Ovis aries: one gene and its partners. The protein of the gene in region 1 purifies or fractionates together with the protein of each later gene. This does not show direct contact. Links are inferred from orthologs where the notes say so. Each region holds a gene or a part of one and is shown in the gene's direction. Other genes may lie near its edges.

The links. The genes of interacting proteins can lie anywhere in the genome.
Region 2: the proteins of TRIM25 (region 1) and DDX5 purify together in Homo sapiens (affinity purification with western blotting; 3 studies listed by BioGRID, with this or other methods). This does not show direct contact. The link is inferred for Ovis aries from reciprocal best matches to the Homo sapiens genes TRIM25 and DDX5.
Region 3: the proteins of TRIM25 (region 1) and G3BP2 purify together in Homo sapiens (affinity purification with mass spectrometry; 4 studies listed by BioGRID and IntAct, counting the BioPlex papers as one, with this or other methods). This does not show direct contact. The link is inferred for Ovis aries from reciprocal best matches to the Homo sapiens genes TRIM25 and G3BP2.

What each region holds. Positions count from the first base shown.
Region 1 is NC_056064.1:7,414,550-7,418,650, reverse strand, and holds part of TRIM25 (E3 ubiquitin/ISG15 ligase TRIM25), read left to right. Parts: intron 1-711; coding exon 712-738; intron 739-1,090; coding exon 1,091-1,168; intron 1,169-1,297; coding exon 1,298-1,396; intron 1,397-3,126; coding exon 3,127-3,656; 3' UTR 3,657-4,101.
Region 2 is NC_056064.1:48,409,135-48,414,008, reverse strand, and holds the start of DDX5 (probable ATP-dependent RNA helicase DDX5), read left to right. Parts: upstream 1-1,876; 5' UTR 1,877-2,046; coding exon 2,047-2,090; intron 2,091-3,269; coding exon 3,270-3,435; intron 3,436-3,618; coding exon 3,619-3,715; intron 3,716-3,799; coding exon 3,800-3,933; intron 3,934-4,050; coding exon 4,051-4,116; intron 4,117-4,353; coding exon 4,354-4,495; intron 4,496-4,579; coding exon 4,580-4,740; intron 4,741-4,840; coding exon 4,841-4,874. Other genes in the region: CEP95 (centrosomal protein of 95 kDa), read right to left, coding at 991-1,009. UniProt on the Homo sapiens protein: Involved in the alternative regulation of pre-mRNA splicing; its RNA helicase activity is necessary for increasing tau exon 10 inclusion and occurs in a RBM4-dependent manner. Binds to the tau pre-mRNA in the stem-loop region downstream of exon 10.
Region 3 is NC_056059.1:91,313,269-91,318,153, reverse strand, and holds the start of G3BP2 (ras GTPase-activating protein-binding protein 2), read left to right. Parts: upstream 1-1,887; 5' UTR 1,888-2,058; intron 2,059-2,157; 5' UTR 2,158-2,277; exon of another isoform or gene 2,278-4,885. Other genes in the region: USO1 (general vesicular transport factor p115), read right to left, coding at 1,454-1,519.

The sequences.
Region 1 (4,101 bases):
TTTTGGCTGGCTTTCTATGTGGGTTTTTTTGTGTGTGTGTTTTTGCATTTTTTCCTTTTGTGGAGATATGATTTACCTACAGTAAAGTGTCCAGATCTTAAAAGTACAGTTAGATTAACAAACGCATACGTCTGTGTTGCTGCTGCTGCTGCTAAGTCACTTCAGTTGTGTCCAACTCTGTGCGACCCCATAGACGGCAGCCCACCAGGCTCCCCTGTCCCTGGGATTCTCCAGACAAGAACACTGGAGTGGGTTGCCATTTCCTTCTCCAATGCATGAAAGTGAAAAGTGAAAGTGAAGTTGCCCAGTCGTGTCTGACTCTTAGTGACCCCATGGTAGCCCACCAGGCTCCTCCGTCCGTGGGATTTTCCAGGCAAGAGTACTGGAGTGGAGTGCCATTGCCTTCTCTGATACATCTGTGTTACCATTATGCCTTCTCCGATACATCTGTGTTACCATTACGCAAATCGGGATAAAGATTTCCATTTCACCAGGAAATCCATTCATGTTCCTTATTAGCCCCTCACCACCAAAACCATGATGTAGGACCGTAGATTAATTTACCTGTTGACCCCCTTATATTTTTCAACGTAAAATGTACTAGCTCTATTTGTATGGGTCACCTTCATGTAGCGATTATTATTACGGTGTTTGAAAGTATGGTTGTGTTGTGCTTTGAAACATTTTAATTCTGAAAATTTTGTTTTTCAGAAGAAGAGAAGAAGCCCAAGAAACCTGGTAAGTTATGCATTTCTGCATCTTTTAGCTCCTTGAGTACCCAAGTGCAGAACTAAATGCCAGCAAGGAAAGCTGAGCTGTGGGCTGGTGTGTGTTGGGGGAGGGTCTGAGATGGGCATGGGCTCCATAACTGTGACTTGTGCTGGCCGCTGGGTCTGGGCTTGGGCGTGAGGATAAGTGGACATGCATGAGACCAGTATGATGCATGTTCCCCTGTCTGGACTCTTTCATGTCACCCTGGTGGTCCAGGTGTGTGTTTGTGGAGGCAGCTCTTGAGAAATAGTGTGGGAGGGGTTCCAGGCCATCAGGTCACTCTGTCGTTTCCCCAACTCACCTGTCTTCCTTATCCCAGCCTCTGCCTTACTCAACAAGCCTGTCACCTTTGGATCCTCGGAACACTTAGTGAATCTCAAACAACCTGGCCAGGAGGGTGAGTTCTGGTGGGCCGTGGACAGTGGAATGCTCTGAATTTGTTTGGAGCGGGAATGAGCAGGAGTGAAAAGCAGCACTTTTCATTTTATGCATTGGACAAGGAAATGGTTTTCTGTTCCTCCTCCAGGTGCAGCCAAAGCCCCTGCCGTGCCACCGACCTCAGCATCTCTCAACGCCAAGGTGCTGGAGAACTTCCTAAGCAAGTCCAGGCCGGAGCTCCTGGAGTGTGAGTAGCTGCTGCCTTGCTTGTCCTTGCCTCTGTCTGGCGTGGTCAGCCTGCCCCCTGGAGGGTGCCCTTACTGCTCCTCTGTGGCTTCCAGCCTGGAAGTGGTGGCAGTTCCTTCCTCCAGGCCAGGCCTCGGGCCACCCATAGCTTCACCCACGGAGCACCCTCCGCTGGTGGTCACTTCCTTGCAGCGGCAGAAACCTCTCTCTGCAAAGTATGCTCTGGCCCTCCTTTTCCCACAGCTGCTGTGGGCGTGGTTCTGGCGCAGTGGGCGTGGCTCACCCATTGCTGGAGCTGTGGGTGTGGTTCTGGCACAGTGGGCGTGGCTCACCCTTTGCTGGAGCTGTGGGTGTGGTTCTGGCGCAGTGGGCGTGGCTCACCCATTGCTGGAGCTGTGGGCGTGGTTCTGGCGCAGTGGGCGTGGCTCACCCATTGCTGGAGCTGTGGGTGTGGTTCTGGCACAGTGGGCGTGGCTCACCCATTGCTGGAGCTGTGGGCGTGGTTCTGGTGCAGTGGGCATGGTTCACCCGTTGCTGGAACTGTGGTACCTGGTATCAGGGCCGGCCTCCCTGGAGCTTCCTGGCTGGGAAAGGCCTCCCCTGCCCCCAACCCCTGTGATTGATGCCAGGCTGCTGGGGACAGTGCTGAGCCACGTGTCTGTGGAGACCCCTGCACTCTGCGGTACAGCTGTTTAAGCAGAGGAAAGGAGTTCTAGGGACTTAGGGTATTCAGAGGACATTTTCCCAGGCCATTCATTTTGCCCTGGGGGAGGCCCAGGGCCAGGTGCAAAGTGTCTTTCCCTGAGCCAGGGGGTGGCAGAGAACCCTGGTCTCTAGCTTCCCAAATTTCTAAGCTCAGGATTTTCCCTGTCTGCCCAGCTCTCTATCATTGGTCCAGGGTCCTCTGTGAGTGGAAGGGCAGGGAGGGCTAGGGAGGAGCACCTATCCTAGGGAGGAGGTGGAGGCCAGGCTTATGTCCTAATCAAGGATTCTATTCAGGTCATTGCTATGCTTGGCAGACCTCAGTTGACTGCCCGCTGCCCCCAGTTAAAGTCGAGACCCTTTGGCTCGGCACTGGTGGCTTCAGAGGTCCCTCTTCTCTCGCTGCAGCCTCTGTGTTCCCAGCTGCCCCGGCTTCCCTGTTCCCAGCACGTCCGTCATCCTCGTGACTCCATGCTTGCCTTCACTGTCTCTCGCAGCCTTTCTCCCTCCCCTGCTCTCCTGTTTAATTCTCATCTCCCTTTCGCTTGGCTCAGATTCCAGCCCACCCCTGAAGTACGTGTTCCTCGGTGCTCTCCCCTCCCTTGGCCCGTTACCCCCATGGCTGTGTCCCTCCAGCAGAGTGCCTGCCCGTCAGTGGAGCAGGGAGTCCTCACTGTTGTCGCTGCTGATGTGCTTGCCTTACTTCTGGGAGTGGGAACTCCACGAGGCCAGGCTCCGCATCTGGTTCATGGCTGCGCGTCCTGTATAGAGCCTGGCATAAGCCAGGGGCTCCGTAGGTGGTTTTGGGTGGAGGAATAGAGAGACAGACGGGTGACTAATAGACACACAGATGGCTTGATTGGCAGTTAGAGAGGTGGACAGATGTCTGACGAGCTGGACAGAATGAATGGGCTGGAAGGGTGGTTGAATGGATGGGAAGAACAAATGAATAAATATTACCAGCTAGAGAAAGGAGGCAAGGTGGGAGTGCTCGGAGCGCCTCTGATTGACTCCTTGATGCTTCCTCAGATGTGGTTAAGGTTGTCCTGGACTACAACACCGCCCACAGCAAGGTGGCCCTGTCCGAGAACTACACCGTCGCGTCCGTGGCGGAAACGCCCCTGAACTACCGGCCGCATCCCCAGCGGTTCACATACTGCTCGCAGGTCCTGGGACTGCACTGCTACAAGAAAGGGATTCACTACTGGGAGGTGGAGCTTCAGAAGAACAACTTCTGCGGGGTGGGCGTCTGCTACGGCAGCATGGAGCGGCAGGGCCCCGAGAGCCGGCTTGGCCGCAACAGCGCGTCCTGGTGTGTGGAGTGGTTCAACACCAAGATCTCCGCCTGGCACAACAACGTGGAGAAAACCCTGCCGTCCACCAAGGCCACGCGGGTGGGGGTGCTTCTCAACTGCGATCACGGCTTCGTGCTCTTCTTCGCCGCGGCTGACAAGGTCCACCTGTTGTACAAGTACAAGGTGGACTTCACCGAGGCCGTGTACCCCGCCTTCTGGCTCTTCTCCACAGGTGCCATGCTCTCCATCTGCTCCTCCAAGTAGGCCGGCCACGGATGCTCGGCCGAACCGCCCACGTGCTTTCCCAGGTCCCCCCGGGAGGGTGCTGCAGCTGGGACCCCTGGGGAGTTGCCCTAGGTCCCCCAGGGCCAAAGGGATGGGAGGGGAGCTGCGGAGGGCGGGAGGCTGGGCAGATGGCATGAGAAGTCAGGGTTGGCCAGGGACAGGGGTGGGGGTGTTTGCCTTGTGGGTCAGGAAGCCTCCCACTTCCTGGTGCCTCTCCAGCCGGATGCCCCCCTCGGTCCTGGTAGATCCAGGCGGCTGGGCGGGTCTCCAGGGAGTCAATGTCACAAGCGCCTCTTTCCTGCTGGACATAATCTGTAACCCCTGTGGGTTATTCCTCAGGCCTCTGGTGCCTGCTTCTTTCTTCTCCGAAGTAGCCTTCAAATCTTGGAGTTCTGATGACTCTTTGTAGAGCTATTCAGGTCTG
Region 2 (4,874 bases), about 41 Mb from region 1:
CATGTTTTTAACCCAATTATCTTGTGCAAGTTGGAATTTCTCTGCTGCCCAAATAGGTGGTGATTAATCTAGCCTGTGAAGAACTAGAGTAATGGCACCAACACTACTGGATTTGTTAGTTCTATTTTTAATTACACTTGACGTATATGAAAACAGACATGGGAAATTCATAAAAACGCCTTTAAATTCAGAGCTAGCACATTACTAACCCTATCGAAGTTTCCTGTGTATCACCCCTCCGTTGGGATTAGCCAAATTATTTCAAGGGCTTCTCAACCAAAGGTAATGTAGCAAACCTGAAACACTTGTTCCCTGAAATAATTGGCGATTAAGGGGCAAGTTCTTTTATTGTGCACGTTATCTTCAGTATGTTCCAGAAATAAACATGTGTATGTGAGGGCGTGTCAAGGCACCTTAACTCCCTCTCCCAGTGCCCATTATTTACAGCAGATCAAACCATGACAACCGGTTTGAACGCTGTCTTGGAAAAAAAGATGAAAGCGTCCTAGACAACCCAATCAACTCTCTTTTCAAAAACTGCGCTACAGAAAGCCGGTAACCGTAGGAAGCTCTGAAGCGGGAAAATCCACCACTATTCCGCTTTGGGATGACAATAGATTTTTAGAGTGCTAATACTCAGCCTCAGGCTCCGCAGTGCAGGAGCAGAGGGCACACTCCCTAGAAAATACTAGTCTAGGGAAAGACACTTTCTGATCATTTACAGCCACCATGCTCGCGTGCTGCGGGCCTCGCCGCAGGGCCCTTGTCTCCCCGCCCCAAATCAGGCTCGACAACTTCGAATGCGCCAGGGAGCGGGACTAAGAAGCCCCAGCCAGAGAACCCGCCAACTACGACCGGGTTGTCTCACGAGCCCCGCCGGCAGCCCACACCCACCCGAAGCCTCAAGATAAGATGGGGAGGGGCGTTCAGGACTTGGACTGAAAAGGTACTTGAGCCCACACACAAACGGGGCTCCACGCAGAGACTCACCAGCCTCTGAGCCGGCCATGTCGCGGAGGCAAGTCGCCGCCGGACTCCTAGCCGGGCGCGCGCGGGACGGCGTCCTGAAAGGGCCGCACGGCGCAGACCCAGGGCTGACAGGAGAGGAAGCAAACGAAAGTGCCGGGAAGGGGTGCGGTGAAGGAGGGAGGGACGTTAAAACGGCTTCTCGCTGCTGATTGGTCACCGCGGGAGTACTTCCTTTGGCGGCACGTGCCGAGGTGGCGGTTTGCGAACTCTAGATACCATTTTTCACCAGCCAGACCCCGCTCAGGGGTCCTGGGGTGGGTGGGTTTGACAGTTCGGGTCGCCCAACAGCCCCGGCCGATTTCCCGAGGGCATTAGCACGGCACTTCCGGTGAGCTATTTCGTCTTGTACTCCTCCGCCGACGCCAACTGGGGAAGTAGTGCGTCCCGCTCACTCGGCGGGCGGGGCAGCCACGTGACAATGTCAGGCTCCGCCTTCCTGTCGCCCCTAGTAATGGGTGTAAAGGCTCTTTGGAGACGTAAACATCTTCAAGGGGACCGAGGGAGTTGACCTGGGCTGGACATTTTATTGTCTGGGCTAGACCTGGAAAAGGGCGCAGTGGTTTCCCTGAAGTGTGAAAGACCAGAAAAAGGTGAAGTCAAGAGAGTGCAGGCTTAGGCATCCCAGTGGAGGACCGCGGGGTGGGGGCGGGTCCTATCCTTGAAAGGGGCGAAAAGTCGGCAAAGGGCCCGGGGGGAGGGGCGAGAAAATGGCGGATCCCGGAACGCCGGCAGGCGTTAATAGCTCTGCGCAGGGGCGGAGTGATTAGGTCATAGAGCGGCTCCCAGCATTCTCTGCGGCGGAGGAGGCGGGCCAGGCTATAAAACCGGCTGCCGGGACGCGGCCGGCACCTCATTCATTTCCACCGGTCTCTTGTTGGGCAGCCTTGGCTTCTGTCATCGTCGTCCCTCCGCCGCTGCCGCCCCCGCAAGGCTTTGCCGTCGCCGGAGCCACCTCCAGCGACTCGTCGCACCCGATTCTCTCCGCTTCGCTTCCCGCCAACCGCAACCATTGACGCCATGTCGGGTTATTCGAGTGACCGAGACCGTGGCCGGGATCGAGGGTGAGTGTGGGAACCGACCTGTCAGGCCCGGCGGGTGGGGGATGGGAGACCGATGAGGGTTGCGGGGGTGGGGTGGCGGGGGCAACTCGGCTTCTAAAGACTATTCTCGGGCCTCCGCCATCGAAAAGGGCTTGCGCCATTTTGTTATTTGTCCAAACCTGGACTTTTCATGTTAACGGTCCTCAAGATTCTTTTTTGTTTTGGAGGGGGTATCGGGGCCTTGATGATTTGGCAACTGTTCGGAGAATTTCGAGCACATTTTTTGAGGGGAGGAAAGCGCAGCGCTTTGAGGCGAAGTCGCCACTATTAGGTGTAAGCTTACAGGAATTTTAAGGAATCTGGGGGTTCTGTGGGTGCCGAGGGGGCCGCCTCCGAAGCCGTTAATGCGGCGAGGGTTGGAGGGTGGCCGGTGCCGCGGGAATCGGCCATGTGGCCGAGCCGTGGGTACAAAATGCCGGCGGCGGACATGGCGGCGGCGCCTTTGTTACCCCGCCCGGCGGAGGAGCTCAAAATGGCAGCGTCGAGAAAATGTGGCGCAGAGAGAAATGCGAGACAAAGGGGGAAGCGCCGCCCCAGCGGGAACGCCGCCCGAAGGACTCCGCCCGGGCCGGGACTCCTCCCCCGGTAGTCTCCGGCTCCTCCTCCTCGTTTTCCTTTCGTTATATAATTTTGCTACCTTGGTAGGAAACCGTTTTGAGGGATCCCCCCAACTCGATTGGCTTGCCTAACTGTCCCCGAGCCACCCGCCGTGTTCTGCACTCACTTACCTGTGTTGTTCCGCTACCTATTAAAATCAGAGCTCTTGGTTCAGGACAGGTGCTAAGTAACATCTGTGTTAAGCTTCTGCTTTATTTTTTTTTGGCATTTAATTCTTTCGCTTGTGTGAAAGAGTAGTATCCACCAGCTGTTGTTTGTCCTTGTATCTGAACTCCTAGAGCTTGGCCAGCCAGTTTCCAACCTAGTAAATCCCGGGCTGTTGATTTGTTTTCAATGGTGTGTACTTCGTGTAACGGGAAATGAGGGAGATGTAGTACTAACTGGCTTTTGAAAGAATGACCATCACTGAGGACAGCACTTGCATCTCCAGAATCTTTCATTGAGTTTTAGCATGTGCGCAGGGATGGTAAAATAAGTCTGTACATGTTTGAAAATGCAATTTTTTTTCCCCTCAAATTTTAGGTTTGGTGCTCCTCGATTTGGAGGTAGTAGGGCAGGGCCCTTATCTGGAAAGAAGTTTGGAAACCCTGGAGAGAAACTGGTTAAAAAGAAGTGGAATCTTGATGAGCTGCCCAAGTTTGAGAAGAATTTTTATCAAGAACACCCCGATTTGGCTAGGCGTACAGCAGTGAGTAATTTCATGTGGTTTTTTCAGCTTGTAACTCAGTGACATTTAAGTTTGACTAGAAATGTCTTGCAAACTTAAAGGAATGTTAATGTTGATAATTATTAACTTAGGGGTGTGTTGGTCGTGTGTTTAGTTAGGGGGAGTCCTCGTGAGATAACTGAATTTTATAAATTTCTTTTGTAGCAAGAGGTGGAGACATACAGAAGAAGCAAGGAAATTACAGTTAGAGGTCATAACTGCCCAAAGCCAGTCCTGAATTTTTATGAGGCAAACTTCCCTGGTAAGTGCTAGTTTTCCCCACCTTAAAAAAAAAAATCCCTTTCTCATGGCATTATTGACGTTTACTTAATTCTTAACATTACAGCAAATGTCATGGATGTGATTGCAAGGCAGAACTTCACTGAACCCACAGCTATTCAAGCTCAGGGATGGCCGGTTGCTCTGAGTGGATTGGATATGGTTGGGGTAGCACAAACTGGATCTGGGAAGACTTTGTCTGTAAGTTTGGGAAACTTTGAGTTAGGTGACAGGTCCTGAAGAAAAATGGGTTGGGAATTAAAAGAAACCAGAAGTGTTTTTAATATGGCTTTTTTTGTTTGCTTTTCTTTTGTATAGTATTTGCTGCCTGCCATTGTCCACATCAATCATCAACCATTCCTAGAGAGAGGTGATGGGCCTATTGTAAGTGTACATTGTATTCTCTTAACTTGGTTAACAGCGTAGAGATTTGTAGAATATACAGCAAAAGAAAATTCTGGTGGTTTTATATGGAAGGTTATGTTTTTCAGTGTAGGAAGGGACAAAGCTGCTTTGGGTATTGACAATGTATATCATCTGCTAGTGTAGCAACAGTAAATTAGCACTTCAAAACTAGAATTCAGGGGTCTCCTAAAGGTGTTCCACTTTCTCTTTCCTTAGTGCTTGGTGCTGGCACCTACTCGGGAACTGGCCCAACAGGTGCAGCAAGTAGCTGCTGAATACTGTAGAGCATGTCGCTTGAAGTCTACTTGCATTTATGGTGGTGCTCCCAAGGGACCACAAATACGTGATTTGGAGAGAGGTATGTAACCAAAAAGGTTTTATTTGTCACTGATCATGCAGGAAGTTCTGGATGTCATGGTAACTTTTGTGTGTTTAATTAAAGGTGTGGAAATCTGTATTGCAACACCTGGAAGACTGATAGACTTTTTAGAATGTGGGAAAACCAATCTAAGAAGAACCACCTACCTTGTCCTTGATGAAGCAGATAGAATGCTTGATATGGGATTTGAACCCCAAATAAGGAAGATTGTGGACCAGATCAGAGTGAGTGCCCTTTTAAATGTTATCATGTCTTCAAACTAAGCTGTAAATTTGTTCTTGAAATACAATGGTTTTTTTTTTTTTTTAATCTAAAAATCTGTAGCCTGATAGGCAAACCCTAATGTGGAGTGCTACTT
Region 3 (4,885 bases), on another chromosome or scaffold:
AGGTGGGCTGTGACTATGGTAACCTGGAGAGAGCATGTGTATGTGTATGTGCGCGCGCATGTGTGTGCACATGACCGTGTGTGAAATCTCCTGATTTTCAAATGAAGGAAAGCAGATTCACCAGCTTTCAGCTTCTGCTTTAAACAGTTCTAACTCAGATGACATTAATTTTAATAATCACATAAATTCCCCAAATTCCCAGATATGTATTAAAATACAGACATCAGCAATAAAGTCTAGGCTTTGACGTAAGGCAAGCTTTGTTTGAATCCTGGCTCCATTACTACTAGTGTGACTTAGGTCAAGTGACTTCACCTCTCTAATCCTCAAGTGTTCACTTGTAAAGTGAGGATACTATCACCTATCCTACAAGGTGGTTGGGGAGCTAAGGAAAATAAGAATGTAAACTACAAAGAACACAGAACCCAGCACAAGGTAAGAACCTGGCAAATGAAAGCTATCATTGAACCTTCAGGATCCTAGTAACACAGAACATAGGATCAACATTCACAGACAATCCAGTAGTGTCTACAAATACTAACCACAGTTTACTTTTACAATGCCATACTTTGTCACTTTTTTGTAGACCTAAAATTACTCTCAAACCAATAGTTAAAAAAAAGTCATACACTTATTCCTAACAGACACTAACCAAACTTCGAGATTTATCCTAAACCTAAAATCGAACCAACTTATCAAAAATTGTGTTGAGTAGCTAACAATTTTTTTAAAGTGACGCTGCAAATCCTGTTTACACGAGTTCAGACTTCTGAATGGGGAGAATGGAAGGGACGCGTGTTCCCAAAGCATTTTGAGCGCCAAAGATCCCCACAACGACCAAGCGAGTATTTCCCAAATAGTGGGCGAGGCTGAAAAACGGGGTCCGAACTAATGACACCTGAAAGAACGACCTGCCTCTAGTTGAATGGGCAGGGGCAGGTGGCTTTGTGACCCAAACTATCGTATTATTCTTAGCCACTTGCTCTGGTCAACTGCTGGGTTTAAACCTTCCTGCAGTTTTCCTCAAAGCCCCATTCCAGACTGCGAGGGAGGTGGACTTTAGGTTAATCACCGCCAGTGAAGACACTGGCGAAAAGGGAGGGACAGGCCCGCGGCCCCGAAGGGCGTGGGAGGCAGGTCAGGCCACTTCTGCCCAGGATGGATGCCTTTCCCGGAGGTACCACCGCGGACCACCACCAAGCGGCCTGTGGAGCTTCGGGGCGCGGCTGCTGTCAGCAGGGCCAAGCCGCCGCGCTGGGGGTTGTGCTGCGGGTGTGAGGGAATAACTTGCGGGTTTCAGGAGAGGAAAAGAGGCACGGGGGCAAAAGGGGAGGCGGCATGTAGACTCCCGGCCCACGGTGACGCGCAGGGGGGTGACCTCCGGGCCCCTATGTCCTCCGTCCCGGTTTCTGCCCGGACCCTTCCCAAGTCCCGGACCCGCCGCTCCTCTCACCGTCTCGGCTTCTGTGTGCTGGGGTCCGGCACTCTGACCCCCCATAACCCCGCGGAGGAAATTCATCTTGCCGCTCAGCCACGGGCTCTACCGGCCTTTTCGGGAAAGAAGAGATAACTTCCCCTGTCCTCCGCAGGGCCCGACCCCCAAGCCTGCACTTTGCACTCCCCGGCCGCCACCGCCACAGCCTACTCGGCGGCCGCTCCAGCCCCCTAAGCCCGGAAACAGCGTCCGCCACCAGTTGAGATGCGCATGCGCGGCGACGTGGCATTACGTGGCGGCTCGAAGGGCGAAGGCAAACGAGCAAAGTAGGCGAGAGGCGGCTGGTAGCCCAGGTCCTCCTAAGCCCCGCCCACTGCGAAGGCTCCGCCCTCCCCCGTAAGAACACGCCTCCCACTCCAGCCTTCGGCTGGTGCCTCCTGCTGGCCCCAACCACCCACGTGGTGCGAGCCCGGCCCTGCCGGCAGGAGACCTTACGGATTGTGTACGCATTTTGGCTTGCAAGGTGTTTAATTGTTGCCGGGCGGGACTTACTGCAAGCTGTCAAGTCTGGGGTTGTGTTTTGTTGAGTAGAAAGAGAAATTGTCCTTCGGCCGACGTGACAGGTAAGGGGTCCCGGCCTCTGGGAGGGTTCATTTGGTTTTGCGGTATAGCAGTACGAGCTTTGTGGCCTTCTCATCCCCACAAATTGCATTTCTTTACAGGGCTTTGTTTGGTGAAAAAAAGGGTACTTGAGCCCCCTCATTCCATTGCCACGGGAGGGCGCATTTCTCAGCTTTTGCTCTTCCAACCTGCTAAAAGGAATTCCTGGATCTAAACACCAGGTACACCGCTATTTTCTAGGGGTGTGAGGAGGAAACCAATCCAACCCTGCGTTTGGCTTACTAGATTAAATACATTGATCTGCAGTGTCATTTTGACAGCAGGGAACATAATGTTTTGTTATTAATGCTAAACTCTTAGATTTTCAGCGTGTGTCTGGGGGGTTAGCATGAAAAATATTCGTTTTTCAAATCGGTAAGCCTTGTTTCTTTTGAAATGAGAGTGCCAGATACACATGCTTATGGAGTAGTCTTGTCAATGCCTTGAACGTGAAAGCGCAGAGTCTAGTTATAACTGATTCATACACCACTCCCCTTGGATGCCCCACAGGTCTCAGACTCCCCAACCTTCCTTTAAAAAAAAAAAAATCAGTATGCTTCGTTCATGTGCCCTGCTGCACTCATCAGTATCACTAGCCAAATAATTGCCTAAGCTGGAAGGAGGAGGCTGGGAGGAATCTGAAACTCTGGAATTCACCCCCGCATGTCCAGTAGTCAAATCCTGTCATGCCTATTTATAGACTATTTTTCAAATAGGTCTCTGCTCTCCATGCTCTCTGCCTCTGACATGGTTTATGTTCCCATCATTCTTCACCAAGATTACGGGCAATAGCTTCCTAACTGGTTTGTCAGCATTTAAGCCTTGGGTTTCTTCCAGTCACCCAAGTCCACTCTTGGGTGAGCCTGACAATGACAAAACATCTGTCCATGTTAGTCCTCGTCTGAAAATCCTCCGGTTGTCGCCCATTCACCTCAAAATAAAATCCAAACTCCTTAGCTTGATGTATAGGCCTGTTATGTTCTGGCTCTTGCCTGTTTTTTCAGCTCCTGCCTCCCACACATACTCTGGATATAGGCCTGGATAAGTCCTTCCCCTCCCTCCACTTCATCAAGGAAACTCCTGCTAGTTCCTTAAAATTTAACTTTGGTATCTTCAGAAAGCTCTCCCTGAAATCTAGATAACATGTGTATATGCTATTCCTTTGCAGTTGTTAATATGTGGGAAGCTCTCAATAAATGCCTATTGAGCCAGACTGTTAATGGCAGAATGTGTTATTCATTTTTATATCTCTGTGGCTTAGCATTGTCACATAAAAGGTGATATTGATAGATACATGAAGAAAGCATTAAAGGGTATATGAATATAATGATGAGGAGGAAGGTCCTTTTTTTCATCTGTAGGGTGGGTTTGCAGATAACACATATCACAAAGGCTATGGTGCAGTTTCCTTTGCTAGTGCCAAGGTTTTAAGCTTCTGTGAGTTGGAGAACAGTGGGGATCATACTGCCAAAAATATTGTACACTAAGCATTGTCCTCTGTTTTAAAACTGGACACTTGACAGTTTGCTTTAGATATTTTCCACCAGGGCATTTCCTTGCAGCCTAAAAAAAGTAACCAATAAATGCTCAGCATTTTTATTACCAAGTAATATCTGCAAAGAACTTCATCTAGTCCTTAAGTGTCACCCCTCCCTGAGCCTCTCCTCACCTCTAGGGGTAAAGCTCTGAGATGGAGTGGGGCTCATGGATGTTTATTACATGTATTATTTGGTAATAAAAAGCAGCGCCTTCACATTTTAGCAGAATCATTTTAAGGCACCAACCTTTCCAAAATGCCCTGCTTTGTTTTAAATTTCCGTGAGTATAGCAGACGCTCAAGAACCATTTCTTAAATAAAGGAAAAGAAAACATGAAAAAATTATGACTGCCCGACTTATGCCGTTATACTTCTCACTTTTATAAATCTAAATATTCAATGGACGAATGCGAATCATTAAAATACATATAATTCATGGCTCAACTGGTAAAGAATCTGCCTGCAATGCAGGAGACCTGGGTTTGATCCCTGGATTGGAAAGATCCCCTGGAGAAGGGAAAGACTACCCACTCCAGTGCTCTGGCATGGAGAATTCCATGGACTGTATAGTCTGTGGTGTTGCAAAGAGTCAGACACGACTGAGTGACTTTCAGTTTTCAAAATGTTAACTTGGGTAAATAAAAGTGATTTTTCTGAGAACAGAACAACTAACAAAACTCATTGATTTGAAATTCATTTTTAGATTTGCTTGCTTCCAATCCCCTAGCTCAGTGGCTCTCTTCAGTGGCCCACTTTCCTCATCCTTTTTTATTTTCTATAGCAAACTCAACAATAACAATGAAATATCATTGCACAAGATTGGTTGAGGGTGGTGGTAATACAGTGGACTTTTGTCCATACCTGCTTTGGAGGATGAGTGGAGGTGATAATTTGTGTCTAAAATGTATCAGTCACATACAGGTTTTTAAAGACTAGTTACTGGAAAAGTCAGGGTTCAAAAATATTGTTGATAAAATTTTGCATTAAGTTTTATTCATTACCCAAACAACACACAGCAAAATAAATTGATAATGATGAAGCAGTAATTGACATTCAGAACCAACCAATAATAACAGTATCAAATACACTTGTGCTGTTTCTTTGCCAGACTATTCAAAGGACTTTACAAGAAATAAATTGCTTAATTCTCTCAACAACCTTATGAACTGAATAATCTTATTAGCCTCATTTTTCCCGTGACAAAACAGGGACAGAGAGTAACTTGCCTGATGTCATATAGGTAGAAAGTGGCA